Tamandua tetradactyla: one gene and its partner. The protein of the gene in region 1 purifies or fractionates together with the protein of each later gene. This does not show direct contact. Links are inferred from orthologs where the notes say so. Each region holds a gene or a part of one and is shown on either strand. Other genes may lie near its edges. The genes, in order: SMARCA1 and POLE3.

The links.
Region 2: the proteins of SMARCA1 (region 1) and POLE3 purify together in Homo sapiens (affinity purification with mass spectrometry; 3 studies listed by BioGRID and IntAct, with this or other methods). This does not show direct contact. The link is inferred for Tamandua tetradactyla from reciprocal best matches to the Homo sapiens genes SMARCA1 and POLE3.

The regions. Positions count from the first base shown.
Region 1 is NC_135353.1:34,167,501-34,171,414, forward strand, and holds the start of SMARCA1 (SWI/SNF-related matrix-associated actin-dependent regulator of chromatin subfamily A member 1), read left to right. Parts: upstream 1-1,180; 5' UTR 1,181-1,374; coding exon 1,375-1,548; intron 1,549-3,914.
Region 2 is NC_135328.1:33,732,599-33,736,512, forward strand, and holds POLE3 (DNA polymerase epsilon subunit 3), read left to right. Parts: upstream 1-1,121; 5' UTR 1,122-1,253; coding exon 1,254-1,319; intron 1,320-1,404; coding exon 1,405-1,490; intron 1,491-1,825; coding exon 1,826-1,944; intron 1,945-2,216; coding exon 2,217-2,389; 3' UTR 2,390-3,820; downstream 3,821-3,914. UniProt on the Homo sapiens protein: Accessory component of the DNA polymerase epsilon complex. Participates in DNA repair and in chromosomal DNA replication.

The DNA of each region.
Region 1 (3,914 bases):
AGGGATGCACAATTGTAAAGCAAAAAAGGAATTTAGGGTATTACCCCTAGGGAAAAAGGGATACATTTGGGGGGCAGTTGTGTGATTTCTTGCTGTTTGCAGCAATCACACATCATTTCAGACTGGTAATTTAGGGAAGTATGTTGAGGGAGTTTAATCATGGTTTTTTTTCACTTTGGAAAGTATTTGCTTCATTGTGGAAGTTGTGGATTTTGTAGTGATTGATTGGCATACTGTTTACTATATGTTTTATTATCTTTTGTCCTTAATGTCTGAAATTTGAAAGCTAGGATGTAAGTTTTCCCATTACAGATCAAAATAAATGGCAAGGAGATATAGTAATAATAATATTTAAAGCTATGTTCATGTAGTGTTGCACCTTTTACAAAATGCTTTCATATCTATGATCATATATATTATTGTTGAATTCCTACTAAATAATTACGGTGGTGCACATAGAACACGCAACCCTTCCAAAAGAATTACAGTAATTCAATCCAAATACAAGTTTTAGGTACTTATCATGTGCTATCCCAGATTCTGTGGGACTTTGCTCTTGGCCCCTAGGAGTTTTAAAATTCAGTGGTGAAGGCAAAAAAAAGGGCTTCTGCACCCTGGCCGTCCGAGGATACCAGAGTTTAAAATAAAACATACATACACACACACCCGCCCCCGACAGACGTCGCCTTGTAAGTGAATATTTGTAGCTGCAATCAAAAGATTCAAGGAATGGTTCTTTTGCAGAATTTAGGAAGGTGGGAATTGCACCACTCATCTCCGTTTAGGGACTAGGGAAAAGTCAGCCTCCAGAGGGGCTCTGAGTTTTGCAACTGGTGAGAAAACCTTTCACAGTACAGTTATAAGCAGAGGAAAAGTTCTTGGTAGCAGGGAGGGAGAACGCCTGGAGGTACAAAGAGCAGATTTGAGGGAAAGAGGATTCCTTTTGCATACATGTGCGAGGGGAGTTCAGCTGTCTGTTGGGGGCGTTTGGGAAAGAAGATTTTTAGGGGGTGGTGGGCTCTCGGTTCCCGCCTCCAACCCTGTCAGCGCAGCACACCACGCTCAGGCAACAGTTGGTTGAGCGGGGCCTGCCCGGGCTCTGGGTGGGGAGGGGGAGTCTCGCGATCGTTGAGGGGGGTGTGTGTGGAGGAAGGGGGGAGGGTGACGGGGGGGGGTAGGGCATGACGTATGGTGGGTGGACGGAAGTGGGGCAGGGTTGAGGGTTATTTAAAGAAGGGGGGTCGAGCAAAGGGGTTGGAAGCCGAGTGATTTGCCCAGTCCTGCTTCGTCTAGCGCTTTCCAGAGCAGCCACTGCCGCCGCCCAGGAGCCCTCGTCCCCTTCGCCGCCCCCCTCCCCGTCCCTGCTCCAGCGCCATGGAGCCGGACACCGCTGCTGTAGCAGCCACCGTGGCAACCGCTGATGCGACCGCCACAGTCGTGGGCAATGAGGACGAGCAGCCGAGGCCATCCACTTCTAAGGACGAGGGAGCGGTCGCCGCGGCCACCGAAGCCACCGCGTCCACTGAGAAGGGCGTGAAGAAGAAGGAGGTAAATAGGAAGGGGTGTGTGTTTGGTGAACAAATCCTGTGCCTGCCGCCTCCAAGGGGCCCAAATCCTGACCTTTCGGTGCCGACAGGTACCCGTGGAGCTCTCCCGGCCGGGGCCCGCGGGCCGGGTGGGCGCCGCGGCGGAACAGACTAGCGTTCGCTCCCTTCCCCCTTCCCTTCTCGCCGCTGGAGGGCGGGGGCGGGGTGCAGCGCCCGGTGGAGGGGCGCCCGTTATCCCGGGGCTTGGGGACTTGGGAGCCCCTGGACAGCCCCCAGACCCCTTCACATTCCCGCAACTGGGGTAACAGAGTGGGGGGGGATGGGGCTGTGCAGAAAAAAGCCTCCGCCTCCGCCTCGCCCTCTCAACTCGCTCGCTCCTTCTCCCCCCACCTTCCCGTCGGCCTCTGCCTGGGAAATCTCGGCCCTTCAATCCCACACTCGTGCAAAAAAAAAAAGGGGGGGGGGTGGTTTGCTGGGTCTTAATTTTTATTTGAATTTGAAGGTGTTGGTGGTTGGGGGAGGGGCGGAGGATAATAGGGAAGAAATGTATTTCTCGGATTGGCAATGTCGGCCCTTTGGATGGCAGAAAAAGAAAAAGAAAAAAAATCATCCCTTGTTCGTTCGGTCCCCGACGGCTGAGGCAGGGGTGTCACCCCAAGAAAACGAGTTCTCCGCGTTGTACTCTCCAAGCCAACCCCCAAACGGAGGAACCGTGGACGCTGGTTTAGGAAAATTTCCAATGTCTGCACCCCCACCCCCTCCTGCTCCGCCCCCAACGGTATAGTGTTTCACTCCAGGGCCACCCAAATGGTCTCCCAGTCGGGCCCCAAGTCTTCCAGGCCTCCGCCTCTCTCTCCTAGTGGGCGATGCTGGCTCGTGGACACACGCAGGACCCCCCCTCACCCCCTTTTTTTAACCAGGCGTCGCCAGGATGAGCTGCTGCTAACATAACTGGAGACCGCTCTGGCGCCTATTTAAAGCCAGATTCAGAAAACATGTATTATCTCTGTAATGTATATTCATATGAAATGCGTTGAAAATTGAGATTAAAAGAAAAAACATAGGATGGGGGCATATGGATTTTTGATGTATAAGTAGATTGTAGAATGGATCGTTTACGGGTGGATTTGTTTTCTATTTATGAGTTTGTTTTCCATTTATGAGTATATTGCAATAAAAATGGTAGGTAATTAAAATTATGCCTTAGAGATCGCAAGTGGCTTTGTCTGAATCATTAAATGCTATACAACCAAATGAAAAGCTTTTGAGGGAAATTAACACCTTTAGCCTTGAATTAGAAGAGTAATTTTAAATTCGGCGGTTGCTGAAGTGATATTTTTTACTGTTACAGGGTTGAGTAAACAGAAAAACAGTCGTGGTGCTAAGTGAACAACGTAGAAAACGTGCGTTTTTAGATTTGTGCGGTACTTCTATCAATAAGACAATGTTGATGATTGAAGCTGGGCCAGATACCACACATCAGTATAGATCAAATGTTGGGAAATTCAGAAATGCCTTTATTCTAAAGATGTCTTTTATTCATTCCCCAAACTGAACAAATGTCAAGTGCTAAGCTGTCTTTTCTGTGGTAGTAGAGGTTGTCGAATCTTCAGGTTGTATGCACATTTTCGAATTGTGAAAAGACTGGGAATCAATAAAAAAACTACTATATATATAATAAGCACTGAGATAATACAGATATTCATGAACTCTTGCAGCCTTCATCAGAAATTACCCTGATGGTACTTCATTTATCTACTCAGCATAGAGGAATGAGGTGTTGGAAGTTTACTATTTTAGGCCCAATATCTTTTTATTTTTAACTTTCTCCTTGAAAATCTAAATATATTGTATATTTCCTTGACTCCTTAAGTAGTGTACTAAAAGTACAGATTAACCTTTCCCTCATGACCATAAGTTGTTGCATTCGGACAATGATAAAAAGTTAACTGAGGACTAGGAGGTTTTTCCCCCTAAATTAACTAACCACCTCCCACACCGTTCTAGTATGGTATTGATTTTTAAATCGTTTTTCTGTCCCCTCCTTCAATTGTCAGGTTGTTGCTTTTGAAACACCTCACCTACTTTTATCAGAAATAATTTGTTAATATATGATAAGGGACATAGATGAAGCAAAACCATAAAATCATTTGAAACAGCAGAGAAATACATGAATTCAAAAGATGAAGCAGGAGAGGGAAATAATCAACACCTGAACCTGAACACTGAGGATTAGGGGATGCTATTATAGTGGAACACAGATTTCAGTACTGAGCTTTTGCCATTCCTTTTTCCCATTGACAAAGTGTGCCTTCTAGTAATCTCACCCACATAATTTGCTGTTGCTTTTATTCTCTGTGGTATGGG
Region 2 (3,914 bases), on another chromosome or scaffold:
CCAACCTCTTTAAGCCAGGAGTGCTATAACCATGTGGACAGTTCCTCGCCAGGTCCTATAGTCTCTAACTGAAGCAATTTCAGTTGTCATTTATCATTGTGTTTGCTCTGCCGGTTTTCTCATAATAGGAAAACTCTCCTCTGTACCCTCGTCTCTGTCAAAAGCATAATAACAAAAAACCCGACTTGAGAGGATAGCATGCTTCACCAAATAATAATAAGCAAGCATTAGTTCTCACTGAGAGTGAGATCTATTTCTACGTTTTTTAACAGGAAACCTTAAATTTCATGTTTAAGAAAATTAAAGATAAAATTTAAACCGCCACTATAAAACCATGGTAATGTTCTTGACTGGGAAAATGTACGATGAACAATTTAATGTACTAAAGAACCAATACAATTTTAACAGGTTTTATTTTCGAATGCTAAATGCCATGTTGCATCTTCATCACACCCAGTTGCTTCACACCCTTTGGTTACCTGCCCACCCTGAACTGAGCCCCCGAGGTCTAACCATACCCATCTCTCTGCCATCAACACTAGCGCTGTGCCGACAAAGTGGTTGGCGCTCAGGAAAGCCTAGATAACAATGATCATTAATATGATTATTACAAAATTGCGCGAAGTGAAAAAATTAAAGATAAACGTCAGCTACGGTAAAGTTGGGAAAATACCCTCCGCTTCGTTTCGGGAAAAGGAAGCGGCCTTCGGAGGCCTGGCTCCGCTGGCCCAAAGCCGATGCCTAGCCGCTAAGAGCCCGAAACTCGGTGGAATAACGCAGTACGGCGCCGGGCGTGGGTAGGCCCCGCCCAGGAGGCTGGGTTCACAACTTTTCCTCCCGCGCCAGCCCCCCGGTCGGGCCGTCGCCAGGCAGCGGCGCGGAGAACTATGGGGAACGGACGGAAGCCTCAATGACCCATCCTCAATTTGGTGTGAAACCTCCAGACTCGGTGATGGTGTGAAACAGAGAAACAGAACAGGGGAGGAGGGCGCAGGGCACTATGGGGCCTGCCGGTAGGTCCGGCGAGCCCAAATGACTGCAGAGAGAAACTTTCGGAAGCTACGGCGACCTGACATGGAGGCGTGGCTGGGGTAAGTGGGTGGGTATGACGCGCAGAGCACTATGGGATACAATGTGGACCGTGTGGGGCGGAACGGAAGCCTGGGTGGGTCAGACAGCAGGGACGCGGGAAGCCTGGACGCAGTAGCACCCTGAGGAAAACTGAGGTGGAGGCGCGGGCCCCTGCGGCGGCCATGGCGGAGAGGCCTGAGGACCTAAACCTGCCCAACGCTGTCATCACCAGAATCATCAAGGAGGCGGTGAGCGGGCGGGCCGGGGCGGACGAGCGGGAAGGAGGGAAACAGGTCTGGGCTAGCATCTTTGCTCACTTCTCCCTTCTCACAGCTCCCGGAAGGTGTCAACATCTCCAAGGAGGCCCGGAGCGCCATCTCCCGCGCTGCCAGCGTCTTCGTACTATACGCCACGTCGTGGTGAGCAGAAAGAGCTAGCCAGAGTACAGCTAGTGCTGAGGCATTTAGGGAGATGCAGAGAGACCCCCCTGGCTCAGATTTAGCGTCCCGGCGCCCATAAACCCCAATGCTTGGGTGCTACCTGTGAACCTGGACAGAGGTTCACGACCCTTACCCAGTTCTCACAATCTCTTAAATAACTTCGCATTAGCCGTTTGGTACAGGGAAGGGAGAAACAAAAAGTCATGCATCTTTAACGTAGGTTTCCTCACTCACTTCAGGGTGCTCGTTTTCCACCCACTTCATGCGTGGCAAGAGGGGGTCTGACAGCTCATTTTCTTCCTGTCCTCCGTTAGTGCAAACAATTTTGCTATGAAAGGGAAGCGCAAGACACTGAACGCCAGTGACGTGCTCTCGGCCATGGAAGAGATGGAGTTCCAGCGGTTCATTACTCCCCTAAAAGAAGCTCTGGAAGGTAATGACCCTTCCTTTTTTCAGCCTCTTAGAAGATGATCATCCATGGCCCTGAGGCTTTCTCAGCAAGGGTACCTTTTAAGTCCAGCAAGGGAATACTGGATGTGACTTGGAACCAGTTCAGTTGGCACCATCTCAGATCTGTTTTGTGATGTTGGGCGGGTTATTTTTCCTTCAGTGCCTCAGCTTTTCCAGCTGTGGAATGGAGTTAGCAGCCGAAGTCTGGTTTACTCTTCCAAACCTACCTCTTAACCGCCTCCTTCCTCCTTGCAGCCTATAGGCGGGAACAGAAAGGCAAGAAGGAAGCTTCAGAGCAAAAGAAGAAGGACAGAGACAAAAAGACAGATTCAGAAGAGCAAGACAAGAGCAGGGATGAGGACAACGATGAAGATGAGGAAAGACTGGAAGAAGAAGAGCAGAATGAAGAGGAGGAGGTGGACAACTGAAAGGGGTGGGGAGATGGAGGCACCTTGGAAGGTACCATGCTGAAACTGTGGTACATGTTTATGTGAAGCTTCTCCCTGCTGGGCAGAGTACTCTTAGGCTGAAGTGCCTAAGAAAATTGAAATAAAACTGACTAGAATTATCATTAAAACCAGGGCTTCCTAGACTCAGAGCATCTTAGTATCAGAATCCTGTTTTGTTTAATCAGTCTGAAGGTTATGACTTTTTTGACAAGGGGAATTCTGACCAGCTAATTGAATTAGCCAATTTGATCTCTCATGTTTAGTTATATACATGGTTAGGCCATTTTTGATCCTCATTTCCTCCTCCAGAAACAAAGTAATGATAACTTCCTTGCTGCTTGCTGTGTTCCAAATCACAGAGGTAGTTGAAGCTCAGGAAATCTTTGGGCTTTGAGTATGATAAGCCTATGTTTGAGATACAGTATTTGGCAATACCAACTTATTAAGAGGGATCAGAATGGTGTGACTTTAGGAGACTAAAAAAAATGGGAGAAAAATGAAACTGGTTCTGTTGTTTCTTCATTTGACAGTAGCATTAGTTGATTCTTAGTTTCTACAGACTCACTTGGCTTGGAGCCTTTTTGCATTGCCTATAGGCATTCGACTTACTGGGTTGGCTGTACTCTGGACATATATGCTTTCAAATTAGCAGTATAGAGGATAATTAACCAAGCTAGGGTGCCAGTGTCTTATTCTTAGCACAATAGATGGCTTAGTTTAGGTTACACCTCACTGCCTGCCACTATACAACTTGAGGATTTCTCTTCACCACCTGGAAGGTGTAAAATTCCAGCCTTTCTCTTACAGTCTATTCCCAGACTTGTGACTATGCCTTTCATTCTTTAATTCATGACAAGTTCCAAACTTCATCTCCTCTAGGTACAACTTTCTTCCTCTGTTTCTTTTTTCTTTCTCTGTCTCTCTTTCTCTATCTCTCCTCCATTTACCATTTCCATGTTCTCTCTCCCTCCTTTTCTCGCATTTTCTCCAATTTTGGAACTTTGATAACCTGCTTAATATCCAGAAGTGCAGGTTCCTCTGATTCCTTAGTTCTAATTTCATGTCTTTTAAAAATGATTTTGTAAAACCTCTCTGAACCTTAAAGAAAATCTGATGGTGCTCAGGAATCTAATTCCCCCCCCTCAAAGCGTCTCCTTTTAACTACTTTTTTTTTCCTTTTAACTACTTTTAAAGTATCTCTGTTGGTCTTTCTTAGCTTTTTTCTCTTTCCCTTCAGTGCCCCAAGCACTTTTTTGTTTGTCTCTGACTTGAATGCTTAGAGTTTGATGGGTAGTGAAGTGTAGGTTGGCATTGTTAAATGAATATAGTAAAAGGTTTCTTGATAAATGAGTGAAGAGTCTTGAAAAAATTATAATGCATTGTATAAATAAAATAAGGTTCTTATTAAAAGTAATGACTTCTGTTTCATCCTGCTTGTTTTTCAAAGTGTGCTTTTGGCAACCCACTGAACATGCCACATACAGTTCTGGCATGTGGGCTGGGT